2 linked regions of the Medicago truncatula genome follow. The protein of the gene in region 1 interacts with the protein of each later gene in a pairwise test. Links are inferred from orthologs where the notes say so. Each region holds a gene or a part of one and is shown on either strand. Other genes may lie near its edges.

Region 1 (7,808 bases):
AAGCAATTAATATTATAAAATATACATATGAGATAAACGATATTTTAAAAATGACAAAATTGATGAGATAGAAATAGCTGTAATTGCTAGAAAAAAAAATTATGACTAGTTTGACCAAAACATAATAATTGTTGACATTTTGTATCAATAGTTCTATTATTGGTAAGCATTATTTTTGTAACAAGAAAAAATGCACCAATATGTTAGTGACGACAAAATTCCTTTGCTTTGTTGGCATATTTCTCACAAAAATGGGTTGGAAGCACGTTTTCAAATGTGTTTTGGTAGGAGACATTGCCAATAGGTCTCATATTTTTCTTGGTTTTTCATTCTTAAGATGGAAAGAAATATGCCAATTTGCCTGCAGAAAATCTTAGAAATCATGATCATACATGGTTGTCTTCATTTAATATGTTTGAAAATTATGCTATAGATGATTAGATCTATTCTTACCAAAAATTCTATAGATCTATTAGTAATATTGGAAACATTATAAGATGACTTTGCAGGCTTAGAGCTTCCAAAATAAGATGTCAAACAAATTAGTGTTTTGTTTTCCAGTATAGATTGGGCCAGAGACTAATAAACCTTAAATTATTGTGTTTTTTTTGGGTAAAAGAAACAATATTAGTTAATTTAAATTGATAGGTTAATATGAATCAAACAAACATCACATTATGATTGAAAATCAAACAACGTCGTATTAAGATGAGAAATCAACCAATGTCGAATCGAGACTATAATTAAGTGAATTATTGATCTGCTAATACTAATTTTTTATTTTACACCGTATAAAGAGGTTTACCTTAAAAAATGATGCATTGATGTATCTTTTTAATCATATAATTTTTCATTGTAGCTAATGTTATCGTGAGCTTAACTTAGTTGGTATGCACAATGGATAATATATGCAAGGTCCATGATTCAAATCCCGACCACCAAAAAAAAAATACTACAAAAAATCTAGTGTTTAAATTTTATTTTTTTTATAGATTTTTTAACATAAGTTTCTTAAAGTTCTACCGATGTCATCTTGATTGAGTCAAACTAAACCAACTTGTTGATCGATTGAGTTTGCTCTAAATTTCATGAGAAAAGATCGTAAAATTCTATGTTGTCGGCATCATTAAAAAAGATAGGTATAATTTATTACAATCTGAGAGTACGAAATATCTATTCTGTATACTCATAATTTTAATTAAAATTTCATAAAAACAAATGTTCATAATTTATATGCATTATCGAATATAAGACAGACAAGCAATTGCCTCCTTCACCCATTGCAGATGGAGGGTTTTAGGTGTAAATAGTTAACCTAGAATTATAGAGGTGCTGCCTGGAAAACAAAAAAAGAACAAATTTGGTTTATAAACCTATTTAAAGAGAACCACATCAATTAAACGAAACTACAAATATTAATTTCTTGTCATCGAAATCAGTCATCCATCAATGTTAATATTGTTTTAAATCAAAAACCAAAGTTGAGACTGATTGTTCTTATTCAAACGTGTCTCATTTTAATAATTGTTCAAACCGTATTTTTTAAGTTTTACATAATGCATATAAAGAAGTTTATCATATGAGTGTTGTTGTTGTTTTCAGTTTTTCATAGGTTTCTTTTACTTAAAATGAAATAATCTTTTTTTTTAACAAGCCAAAATGGAATTAATTAAATCAAAAGGAGTGGTTCATTTCGTACAAGGCATGCAAAAGAGAACCACGTAAAGTTTGTACAAGACAGGTCACTGCTGCCACAGAAAACAAAAAGCAAATAGACCAAAATAAAAACAGAAGAAGAACAACAAAGTTATTGTAAAACTCTCATGCAAAGTAGAGGATGTCTCCACCAGTCATGATAGCTAAAAGAACAGGTTGACCTACACGCCTTTAACCACCGAAAGGAAACAAAAGGAGTGGTAGAATCTTATTTTTTGTATGTTGGTTTGATGTAATCTTTTAAAAACAACTAATATCATATTAGTCTTTGAGTGGACTAATTTAACTTCTTCAAACAAATATTAGTCTTTGAAGAACGAGTTGTGCGCCAAAACACATTAACAATATTAGTTGCATTGAGAAATAAAAAACATAATTTTTTTAATGATAAATATGACATTAATGATAAAAACATGGAAATATTTTCCTCCGATAAATTAGAATAGTTGTTATTAAATATTAAAAAGTGGATGATGAATCCACGTGGGCATAACTCAGTTGGCAGAGAAATATATTGTTATATGTAGAGGTCAGGGTTTAAATCACACTTATTCACCTTAAAAAAGGTGAATTCTAACCACTAAACTACCTGACAAAAAAAGTGTCTGATGAAAAATATTATCAAGTGACAAAGATGTCCATTCATTAAGTTACAAGGATTATATGTCTTAAAAGTAAGAAATGATTTGTAACTTACACAATGTCTTGTTATTTGAGCTATTACGGGGAAATTTGTTTTAATTGACATTTTTTTTTTATGAAAATTCAAATTGTAAACATAGAGATAACAGAGGGAAGTTGAAAGGGAAAAAGACACAAAATGGTAGAATATCGGTGAATTATCAAATAATTAGAATGAGACAAGATATAGTTTTTGGTGGTAATTAAGTTTCATAGTTAAAAATAGATATGAATGAAATATGCATTTTTTTTTTAGAGGAATGGGAATGTACACATAGTAACATCCAATGTTCGCATTTTAACTCCAATTTTATAAAAACTCATGGAAAGAAAGTATAATAAAGACTTCTAATTAAAACAAAGGTTTTTTTGTCATATAGTATAATAAAGACTTATAAAGTATTGGTTCTCAACATAACCCCGTATCAAGTTAGACGTTGTATTTGAGGTTCGAACTCCCTCTACTTATGTATGAGAGTTTCATGGTTATTTATTGTTTCACTTATCTACCAGAAAAATGGGCTAAAGTTTAATGCATGTTTAACTCTCAAAAAAACATGTTTACTTATTTTTTGAAACGGCTAATATTATTCACATCGAGAGTATGCAAGGCGCACAACAAACTCGCGGGTACACAGAAAAATAAACATACAAGCATCTCTTAAAGAAAAAGAGTATAATTTGTAATTTGTTCTAGACATTTACTTTTCAAGGGATAGCAATGCATATTTTAACAAAAGAGGATAAAAAACTGTAATTCAAGTGTATCTCTGGATAGTGTGTTGTAATTTACTCTTTAGCTTATTTCTTCATTTTTATTGTTCTAAAGATTCTAACGACAAAACTTACACAAATACTAAATATTGAAAAGTGAAGAATTCTATTTCAAATTCACTTATGTAATACCAAACATCTTTACAACTAGCGTTTGAGTTATACTTACGATTAGGCATGACAATGGGGCGGGGGTGGGGACATGTTTTATCTTCCACGTCCCCATACCCTACTCTCATATACTTACTTGTTATCCTATCCATATCCAACGGAGATGCGAAATCGAATCTCATCCCCATCCTCGCGGGTTCGGGTATCCTCGACCCATCTCATCCCCGCAGTGGATAATATTTTTTTATAATATAAATAAAATATTTTCCAGCCCCGATCACAATCCAACAAAGAGATGATGATGATGATGATAGATGACTATGGTGATTGAGAAGAGAGAGGCCGAAAGTGTGAGATTTGAAAAGAGAAAAAAAGAGAACTATGATAAGTGAGTGTCGAGACTGATACTCTGACTGTGTGAGTAAAATAATTTAAGGTTTGAGTTTCCCTTTATATAAGTTTTGTTGCCATGCCTACTTATGATACTTCTCTTTCATTTTTAGTGTAAAAAATACAAGTTTTTTTTTTCTTCCGATTGTTGACGCCGACAAAAAAGATAGAAAAGCTAGTAGTCTTTTCTATAAGATAAGATAAGAAAATTAGCAAAACATTAAAAACTATAAATTTTTGGACTACAAGAAAATTAGTAAAACATAAGTATTAAAGAATATAATTTTTTTGATAACTAAATATTCTATTCATAAAAAAAACTAAAGAATAATTTACAAAAATAAAAATAAAATATTAAAGATTTAGATTTGACCAAATTCAAACAAAATATTGAAGAATAATAAATACAAAAGATTTGGTTTTGACCAAATTCAAAAGTAAAATAAAAAAATGTAGACACGTATTTAACAATGCATTACCACTTCATCAATTAATGAATATAAATAATAATTCATGTATTTTCATATTCATTAATTGATATGACAATACGTCATTGAATATATGAGTAAAATAAGTTTACACTGACGATGCATACAAATTAAATCTGAAAGAATATTATTAATTATAAGTTTTTTTTGACCCAATAAAAGTTTATTGAAATCCTTTCAAAAAAAAAAGTTTATTTAAATGGTAAACAATTGACTCACTTACAAGACCGTGTTCGATTCTGGTTATCAATGAGAAAATTTCTTGATATCCTTCGTGATCCTAATGACTCACATACACTTTTTATTTTTGGGTTATGCTAACCGGTGCCCCTTAAACTTAAAAAAAAAAAGAGAATTATTACCAAAAAAAAGAAAACTATGTTGATTTTTGGTGGATTAATTACACAATTTTTAATGCAATAATTACTGTATAATTTCCTTTTTAGTATCCTTAATCAGTGCTCCAAGGGCACCGGTTAACATTTTATCAAAAATTAATTATATTAATTTAACAAACAAATGTTAATTCTATGCTATGACAATAGTTTCATTTTTTTAATTTTGCAAAACCTTTAAAAAAAAGAAAAAGAAATTTGTAAAAGTTTGTAAGAAAATATTTAAATTTTTATATTAAAGAAAATATATCTACTTCATCACTCACAAATACACAATCAAATGCATTCTTTGCGTTTTGCGTTTCGTTTGAACAATTGAAGAATTCATTTTGAAACAACAACAACTCTTTCTCATATATAAACCGTTTCAAAACCCTTATGTTTCATTTTCCCCCAAATTCAAAACCCTAACCCTAATTTCTCTCTCAATTTTCCCAATTTCTCAATTTCACACCCCACCATGAGCAATGAGATTGTTCAAAAGCCTCCACCATCAATCCTCGTTGGTCGATTCAAAGCTTTGTTGAATCAACGTCGTGAAGAAGATCCTAGGTTGAGAAATTCGCAACCTTCAACAGAAGAAATTGTTCAGATTTACGAGCTTTTGTTGTCTGAACTCACGTGTAATGTTAAACCTATCATCACTGATCTTACTATCATTGCTGAACAACATCGTAATCATGCTAAAGGAATCGCTTTTGCTATTTGCAACCGTATTGTTGAGGTTTTTGTTTTTTACACCCCCTTTTGTAAAATTCCACACCATTGTTCAGATTAAGAGTTATTGTTGTTTTCATTGTTGTTAATTCAATTGTTGTCTATTTCATTGTTCTATTTGTTTTTTACTTTATGAATTTTGTTTATTGCTATTCGATAGGAAAAAGTTTCGATTTTTAGTTCATTTCATTTGATGGGTTTCACAGTTTTGGCGATTTTTTTTTATTTATAATAATTGTTCATTTGATTAATAATTGTTTATTTGGGAATTGGAAATTGAAAGTAATGATTTTGATGTAATTGTGATTGTGTTAAACCGATTAGTAGCATCTGGGCAATTGAAAATAATAAGGATTACATGGTATATAACTATTATATAACTATAACTAATAATGAACGATGCTGTCAAATACCGGGTGTAGTGTAGCGGAATTTGAACAAACTACCGTCGTTTTGCGATTAGCTTTTTAGTTAAAGTGTTGTCAAATAGCAGCACTAGTCCTATAGCAGCACTGTAGCATAGCGGAATTTGAACAAACCACTGTTTTCCGCGATTTGTTATTGATAACATTGTTAACAAATGCTAAAATTTAGAGATTCAAGTAAGTATAGTTAACCGTTAACACAATTGAGTAATTAAAAATCGATTTTCGGAACCTATAAAAGTGAAATACTTAGTGTATCAATGGTGGATTATAGAAGCCAGGGCACATAATTTCGTGTAATAATAATGGGGTTTACGGCCTATGGTGGATATAATAGGAATTGAGGACGATAGTGGCTTGCACGAAATCTGCCATGTCGTACTGCCATGGCGGCAATTTGACAACACTGGAAATACTATACTATATTTAATTTTTAAAGGATTTAGGCAGGCATTTCATCTGAAAAAAGGGAATTCGTTATTGTGCTTTTGCTGAAATGATTAAGTCTTTTGGTGACCTGCTCAAGTTGGAATACAGTGTTCCAAATCCTCACAGCTTTTCTTTTCTGTGAGTTTTTGTGCGTGCGTGCGTGTTATCTGAGTTACCTGTGTTTTAGGTTGCTTGTAGTAGAAATATATGAGAAAGAACATGGCTGCAATTGAATGTTAAACAATTTTCTGATTAAATTGAATGATTTTGGAACATTAGCATATACTTGCTTGGAGTAAATATTAGGTTAAGTATATTGTTAGTCTTGCAGTCATGTATCACACATATTAGACTATTGATAATCCAGCTTACTTCATATATATTTCATGCCTATGTTAATATGTTATTTTTTAGCTATATTTATAGCGTAGTATATTTGCTGTTATTGTTTTTAGACAAGCTATTAACCAAGGTTGTGTATTACTAGTAGCTTATGCTAGAAGATTGTTGGGTTGCTGGTGTCATGTCATCTACCTGACAGTTAGGTCAATTTGATAGAATTCTATCTATTATATATCTTGATTCTGTGTATATTCATTTCATCACTTTTGCATTTCAGAATAACCTATCGTATTCTTACCAGTTTGCGTTCTCTCCCAAGCTTCATCACCACTTATCATTTTCTATGAATACCTATAATGCCAATTTTCAACCCTCTTACTACGTAACACACACTTTTATCATTTCATACAAAGTATACAAAGTAACTAGTACATAGTTTGCTTTATCTTTGTCAACATTGGTGATTTCAGAGGCAGAATAATAAAATTGTTTAATTATGATACTGATGCCTCTTCTAAGTTTATATGGGCGTAGTTTGCTCGTACCAATGAGAAATAAGTTTGATTCTTTGTTGGAAAAATCATACAGGGACTCTTACAGAAGTATTGGTTCTTAACCTAACCCCGTATCAATTTTGATTTTTGAGATTAATTGTCACTAATCTCTTCTCTGAAATGGAAACTTTGTAAGAATTGGTTAAAGAATTCGGTAAATAACTGTGCAGTAAATCATTTTATAGTTGTCCAGAACACATAACTCATCATGCAAAATGTTGTCACTGACATGCCACTAAGTTTAGTGTGGAGACTGGAGAGTGATTCCTTTTTCTTTTCTATTTTTTCATTTACTATCTAGTTAATAGTTTGTAGTGTAAAATCAACGTCTCTATTATTATTCGAATCTCCGCTGTTTGTATCGTCTCCAATTGTTTATTTTTTTTCAGGTGTCTGCAGATCAAAAGCTACCTTCACTCTATCTCTTGGACAGTATTGTGAAGAATGTTGGCCAGGAATATGTTCGATACTTCTCGCAGCGTCTACCCGAAGTAGGTCATTTCGAGTTTATTGTAATTTGATTGAATTCTTAAATGATTTAATTCTGTTATTGAAACTTATAGTTCTATTGTCTGCCTAGGTTTTCTGCGTGGCATACAGACAAGTTGATCCAAGTTTACATTCTGCTATGCGACATCTCTTTGGTACCTGGTCAAAAGTCTTCCCTCCTTCTGTCTTACGGAAGATTGACGTGGAATTGCAATTTTCTAAACCAGTTAATAATCAACCATCAGGCGTTAATTCCCTTAGGGCTTCTGAATCTCCTCGACCAACTCATGGGATACA
Region 2 (7,907 bases), on another chromosome or scaffold:
CTGACCAACTGTTTTTAACTAATCAACAGAGGTTACCTCATGGGCCAATACACTTGTTCTTTTCTTTGTTGGCCTACACTTGACATTATGAAGTGTGATACTTCCGAAGCAACAACAAATAATATAGGGATCAAACACTATCATCGGGCTGTATAAAAAATTAAACCTTAAACGAGTATTAAGATTTGGATAATTAATTGCTCGATCCAAATCATAGTTACCTTGAAATGATCTCATCAGGTTCCTTGGCAAATGAGACAGCAAGGACTGCATGGAGCAAATCTCGATTTATATTCACAGCTACAACTCTCGTTGGATCTGCAGCAGGTTCTGCTCCAATTGGCAACGCTGAGCGTGGAGCTTGTGGCCCACCACCAACTCGATAAACAAACAAGTCACCAAAATTTGAAATATTCGAATGAGGAGAAAGATCATTTGTAAGACCATAAAAGTATTCCTGCGTCAAAATCAAATAGCAGCAATTTTAATTAGAGTTACAAAATAGTTGGAACAGGCAAGACAATTAAGTGAATGTTAGGAATGCCCAAGGAGCAGGGAGAAAAAAATAAAAAAAAAACTAACCCAAAGGCCAAAGCTACAAGCAAAATATCCAGAAGCAATCTTTGGGCAATGCAGTTTTATATCCAAACAAATATGTGCTTACAAGTTACAAGGTTTTTAACAGTGCTGATAAATGCAAAGGATCCTACTATTTTCAAAAGAACTATTTCCCTTCACTAAAATTTTATGTTTTTTTGGTTACAATTTTCTAATACACAACCCAATACTTAATTCTACCTATTTCTCATAGAAAAATCATTCTTTTCTCATTAACTGCAATTAACTGCTTGGCTAAGCCAGAACAATTAACATTTAATATGTTGAAGTGGAATCATGGGATTATGAGGTCACGGGTTCCAGTCGTGTAATAGGCCTTTTGCAAATGCTATGTAAGTTTTTTTTACAATAGAACCTCAATGGGCTCAAACCTTCCCTAAACCCCACCGTGGTTACCACTTGCCCATTTAACTAACATTTAACAATCAAAGTCCTCTAAAATGAAAAAAAAAAAAAAAAGAAGACAAATGAGATTTTTTCAACATGCAGAAAATATTGAAAAGTGGAAAAGTAGGATTACCCTTATCCTATTACTTCTGGACCTCTGACGGAACTTCACAGGCCTAGATACAACTCCACCCGACCTCTGAAGTTTCACAACATCTACTTTAGGCTCACCCTTAAGCACGTCTCTGAGCAAACTGCACAGTTTTTCCTATAAGGAGTTCAAACGGAAAGCCTGAGACTGAGTTTACAAAAAATTATAATATACAGAGCACCTCCCAAGGAAGATTCATTTATTTTGAGTGAAAAATCAAGGTATTAGTTATGGGGAAGTGTGATGCATAGTAGATAAGGCTACCATCTACCTGGCCCAAAACCAAAACAACATTGGCCTTGAATGTACGGATTGCATGCAATAGCATCTGCAATAAAATACAACCAAAAGAACGAGTAAGAGATGGGAGAAAAAGACCACCATAATCAAGATCTAGTAATCAGAATTAGCAGTACATTCTGTGTTTCAGCAGTGTTCAATTCAACAATAATTTAAGGTTCAAAAGGTTAATTACATCATAGCCCAGTCCTTCTATCCATCCCATGGTATTTAACACCATTCCAGCAGCTCTGGACTCAGCATTGCCAGCAAATTGTCTCTCCAGTATCCCCGCGAGCTCCTTGACAAGCACTTTATACAATTCTACATTATTACTGAAAAAAAGAATTATTTGGTGATTGTATTTTCATTTCCTTCGGTGTGCTGTTAATGATTTTTTATAACTTCAAATGAATGTGTGTTCATGTGATTTTGCCAATTAATAGTTGAAAATATGATAGGAATTACAGCTCTAATTACCTTGGAGATGTGTGTCCATAAAAGTAAACAAGAGGCATTTCAAGAGGAATTCCCTCCACCGGATCGATGGGCATTTCAATTGGAGTGGCAGCAATGCATCCAGGAACTGTTATAGACCCTTGGCCAATATCCAAGTCAACAAAGGTGGGCTTCCAACCTTGTTTAGCTGCCCAACTAAGAAGCATCCTTGACAAGGTAGTCTTTCCAGAATCTGAAGGTCCAACAACAATCACCCTAGGACCCTGACCAATCAAATCATTTGATACTTAATTCACATACTACAACAAGCTATACATCATACACCTCAAAGGAATCACAAATTTCATTCTTCCAAACACAGCAATTTATAATAAACGCTCAAATTTTGAAACCCGTAATAATAATAATAATAATAATAAACCATAAAAAATAAAACTTCAAAAAGATATACCTACAGTGCAAAATAAAAGCCATACACGAAAAAACAATCAGCACCAACACATACATGAAGCATCCAATCTCCTAATCACAAAACACGATAAAATTACCTGAGATAATACAGAGTCGTCTGAAGGTGATTTCTTAGCGCGATCTCTTCTTCCTTCTAAAATAGCATGCACATTTACATAACTAACCATTGGTGTCTGCAATTCAAAAAAAAAAAAAAAAAGAAGTTGCAATATCCTCCCTCCATGAGTGGGTTTGATAGAAAGATTGAAAGCAATAATCTCAAAGTGATTTACCTCATCCGCAGTATAACCAGTTTCAGGAGTACCATCCATTTCAATGGTAGCACCATACCAAGTAAAAACCTAACATGAAGAAAATGATATGTTAATGAATCTAGCAGAAAATATGAAAATTGTTATAAAAGAGGATGGAAGGGAATAGAAGAGTTACGGCGAACTTGAGTCTAGGAGGAAAATTGAGCCAGATTTCAGGTGGAAGCTCGGTACCAAAAATCTCAGCGTTTCCATTAAGGAGTCGAAGACGAAGAGGTGAGTCGGAGACTTCAATTCTCAATTCGCATTCTTTTTCCAATTTCACTTGCTTAATTGTCGGTGTCGAATTTGAACTAGTAACAGCGGGACCTGCACCGCCATACGCCATTTTGAACGGGTGAGAATGTGAAAGACTAGGGTTTGTGGAGGCGGCGGAGATAGGGAATGGAAAAAGGTTCTGTTGAAAGTAATAGATAAGTAGGAGAATGATAGGGCTTCGCGGAAGTGCGACGGGCCACGACGGTGGAGCTTTTGGTTCCCGACAACAGATGTGAAGCTTTTAGTTGAGAAGCGCAAAGATTTTATACCAATTCAATTTTGTTTGAGTACCAAAGAACTCCATATTTTTTTACTTCTTTTTTTATACTCCGTACCCTTGCCCTAAAATCCACCTTAAAAAGAAAATATAGGACAAAACATTTTTTTAGTTAAATAACTTATAGATTTAATAAATAATTTTATCAGTTTTGACATGTCAATTACCTCCAATTCTTTTATATTATTGATATTATGTTTTGTTATTTCATTTAAATATTTAAAAAAAATTATATTTGTCTTTTTGAATTTAATTTTTGGTTCTTTTTCAATGTTATGGTACTAATATTGTAAGTTTTAAAAGTTTGATAGAAATTTAAGCTTCGATCTTATATAATCTCATCTCATACATATGCATCCGATTCTCAAGTGAAAAAAAAAAATATTGTAATATGAAATTTAACCGGGGTGAATAAAACATAATAAATACTATTCAAATTAAACATAAACTTAGATATTTGATCTATAATTTAATTTTTAATTTAGAATATTACGTTTTATTCAGAACTTAAGTGATGCAAATAATAATTAGAAAATGATAAAATTAAACGTATCATTAATTTTAAATTAAAAAAAAAAATTGAATATAAGAAATGTCATGAAGTCATGCATTTCAACCAATCAATTGTACATACACATTGCACCACCAATATATCTTGTAAAATAATATATTTCATCTCATTTTTCATATCTTAAATATGATTGTAGGAGTCATGCATGTCAGGTAAAAATTAATATTATATATGTTAAAAATATAAAACGGTTGTAAATCATGAATAACTCATTCAGTGACGGATTTTGAGTTAATTTGTTGGGGGTGCCAAACTTTTATGGAATATATATTAACTGGTTTAAAGTATTATCAATAATTAATTGCTGGCCAAGTGGTATAAAATGTTTTAAAAGAACAAGAGGAAGTGGGTTTGAATCCCCTCAAAATGTTTTTTTTTTAAATACAATATGCTATAATAGAAGATTAAACAAGTAAAAAAAAGATGGCAAAGTGTTGAACTATAACAATTCACGGTTCCTCTTTCCACTGCAGCAGCTCAATTCAAATTGATATTATACTCCTAATATAGTATATAAGGAAACTTTGGGGGATACCATGACACTTGCCTGCCCCCAAAGAGATCCGCCCCTGAACTCATTAATGGTTCCTTGATGAATGTGTTCCTATACCTAACCAATTTGACTTGAATCGAGGTGCGTGAGAACAATGTAATCCCCTTATTCTTTCATGCTCTATCAATCATTTTTCTAAATTCATTGTACAAACTATAATTTTCCAATGTTATTTTTGTGTTGGAAGACCTCAGAAAATGGTTTTCAAAAAATGACAGGATTCATATATCCTCTTTATGTTTCGCGATTAATAATCTCAGGCAATAATCGAAACCCATTTTGGATTATTTCACACAGACGAACTCTCACATACCTATGTCTAATTGCAATTGCCCTGATCTATGTAGTTATAGAGCTATGCATGTTGCTTGCAACTATTAGAGTGAAGATCAAATCATTCAACTCTTGAGTGGTCTGAATAAGTAATTTTCTATAGTTAAAACTCAAGTTTTGTTCATTGATTCTCTTTCCTATATCAACAAAGTTTACTATCTGGTTGTTCAATAAGAGATCAACAATGCAATACTTAGTTCTCATAATTTCAATGTAATCTTTTTTTCATTGATTCTCTTCATGATTCTAGTGTATTGATTAATACTTATGAATACATTCTTTCTCATTTTTCATGTGTTAAAGTTCGCTCAAATATTTGAGACTAAAATCACGAACAACTCATGATTGCATTGTTTTAATTATTTGCTACTTTTGACTAATTTATTAATAGATGTGTTATTAAAAAAAGCTTAAATAAGTCTTTCGCCCATGCAAATATAGGTCATTTGACTTTTCGTCCATGAAGTTATCAATCATTCCAATCTGCCACTGCAAATATTAATATTTGACTTCTGGTCATAAGTAGGTTTTTTTGTTGAGGTGGGTTGTCATTAGTGACGTGGTGCCCATGTGACAAATGATGATTGAATGAGGTAGTTGGCTTAAATAGGTATTTCGTCCCTGCAAAAATAGGTCATTTGAATTTTCATCCCTAAAGTTACTAATCAGATGTAATTATGACCATTTTTCAAATGATTAATAGTTGCAGTGGCAGATTGGAAGGATTAATAACTTTATGGACGAAAATTTAAATAACTTATATTTGCATGGACAAAAAACTATTTAAACCTTAAAAAAAAAATTAACACTCTTGAACATAGTGAAAGTTAGATGTCGCTTTCACACTATATATATATTTTTTTTTTAGGGAACACACTCTATAAATATGTTAATAGTCCTTTTATTACTCTAAGTAATTGATTGTATGAGCAGGACGAAGTCCTAACCTTAGCGATTTATCTTCGATAAAGGAGGCAACAATAACTCGTTATTATTTTTTAGTCCAATGACTCATTATTATTGTTGTAAACACTTCTCGATTTATAAGATATTTACTGCAAATAAAAATGAACAGTCGAATCATATATATATTTTTCCCGTTGGGATGGATTAAAAAGATTTAGATATCAAGGACAACACAATCAACCGATGGCAATCGTGGTTCGTGGCAGACAGGACGAGCATAGATACCAAATTTAAATTGATTGAATAACCATTACATGACAATCAACCGATGGTAATTTGTAATGGTATTCTAAAAGGATGCAACATAGTTTTGATCAAGTTCAAAGACCATACGACAATTTTCCTACATATGTGGCATGGTAAATAAAGTGGTTAAAGGAAAAAATACATATAAAACTTATCCCAATGTCAAATTCAATGGCAAACCATGGTCAAACATCCACTATCTAAAAAATATAATTGTGGTGAACACGGGTAGATGTCAACCAAATAGCTAGTCGTACAAAGTACAATTTTCCCTTCAACTCAACAATATGAACAAGATGTCATGGATAATTGTGGCCGACTAAGTTCAAACATTCATGAAGATTTACTCCCTTAATAATAAGGTGATGGATGACATGGATAATATAACTATGCGAACAATACCATTTTAAGTTGTAATTCAATCCACGAGGTAGTTATTTACCGTGGCGGATCTTGAAATATTTTTTTGAGGGTGTTAGAATTGTATGAAATATATATTAAGTTGTTTGAAGAAAAGGATATAATTGTTAACTAGTCCAATGGTTTGTTTTGCTTGAATGCAGAGCAGGGGTGCCAGTTTGAATCCCTATAAGAGCCATTTTTTTTTAACAAAATAGTAAAAATTGAACAGAAATATAAAAGAAAGCAGTTGGAAGGGTCGAACACGCGACCTCTAAGGGAAAAACAAACATCATTTCTACTGCGCCTACTGAGTACTAGTGTATAGATTATGCCTAATCTAATATATATAGAAAACTTGGGGGTACCATGATTGTCAGGGGTCCCTGGAAAGATCCGCCCCTGGTTACTTATATTAGTGATGTTAGCCATGATCTTACATGATATAATATGATAGATAGTCATTCAAAAACATGGTAAACAATGTTAGCATAAGTTGCTTAGTTATTCTAAGTGTATAACTACTCATCGCAAAGATTATTCAAGATACATCACATCAAACAAGTCTTTACACCTTTTTTTTTTTTATCATTCCTTTATCATTTTCTTTTACTTTTTTTTTTATGCATTCTTAGGTGGTAGTTCATCCTTCAAAACTAAACGCTCTTTATAGCAGTATATGAACCCACATCTAAGAAACAAAGCCCTTTCTCAACACAATCACTTGACAAAAAAGGGAATCATCGTCTCACGTGAAAATAAACCCACATATCATCTTATAAATTGAGGAATCGATAAATCAACCAAGTTATTATGACATCGGATAATCACACAACCATTTGGCAGCATCGAATTTTGCACGACAACAACAAATGGCATGCCCAATGAGACCATGAAGGTGAACACCCTATTCACATTTTTGGTACCACAACAAATGCAAGCATGTGTTAAGGCATAACCCTTTACCATAGGTTCAACCAAATGTTGTTTAGGCAGAACTTTTATCACAAGTTCAACCAAATTATATTCAAGCAAGGTTTTCACCAAAGATGTCGCCGAATATGTTTGCTACTACCTGTCTTGAGGGGAAAATGGCGTCGAAAGACATGGTTGACAATGCATTAGAACAAAGTGGAAGGTCGTTAGTCATGTCAAATGTTCTGACTTATGGCGCAACTTTGCATGCCCTCAATCAATAATATGTTCTTTATAAGGATTTGGACTCTGGTATGCATACACGACTACTTGATGGTTATATGATGTGTTCTTTATAAGAGATCGAAACCTTGAAATAATTTTCCACCAACCTTATTTCATCAACCATTTTATTAGCATGTCGTAGATTTGCCACCTTACGGTGATGTGGGTTCGAATTCTCCTTACGGGATTTTGTATGGAATGACTAATAATAATGAAAGAAAGCAATCATGAAATAATATTCCACCTTTTTCGAGTAACCATTCATTGAGCTCAAAATGAAAATATTGACGGTTATGCAAGAGAGCAACCACGGATACTATCCATCCTTTACGCGCTAATCAGCCGATGATTTGAAATTTGACAAACATGCATACTAAAATGTTCTTCAAGGGGAAACAATGCCATACAATAGGGGCCAACTCCCTTAA

Evidence for each region. The genes of interacting proteins can lie anywhere in the genome.
Region 2: the proteins of polyadenylation and cleavage factor homolog 4 (region 1) and protein CLP1 homolog interact in a two-hybrid assay, tested with the Arabidopsis thaliana proteins (3 studies listed by BioGRID). The link is inferred for Medicago truncatula from reciprocal best matches to the Arabidopsis thaliana genes PCFS4 and CLPS3.

Annotation. Positions count from the first base shown.
Region 1 is NC_053047.1:3,170,347-3,178,154, forward strand, and holds the start of polyadenylation and cleavage factor homolog 4, read left to right. Parts: upstream 1-4,805; 5' UTR 4,806-5,015; coding exon 5,016-5,279; intron 5,280-7,411; coding exon 7,412-7,513; intron 7,514-7,602; coding exon 7,603-7,808.
Region 2 is NC_053042.1:56,156,358-56,164,264, forward strand, and holds the start of protein CLP1 homolog, read right to left. Parts: upstream 3,005-7,907; coding exon 2,795-3,004; intron 2,707-2,794; coding exon 2,638-2,706; intron 2,539-2,637; coding exon 2,443-2,538; intron 2,158-2,442; coding exon 1,916-2,157; intron 1,771-1,915; coding exon 1,632-1,770; intron 1,485-1,631; coding exon 1,428-1,484; intron 1,274-1,427; coding exon 1,139-1,273; intron 458-1,138; coding exon 222-457; intron 1-221. UniProt on the Arabidopsis thaliana protein: Required for endonucleolytic cleavage during polyadenylation-dependent pre-mRNA 3'-end formation. Functions in gametophyte, embryo and postembryotic development.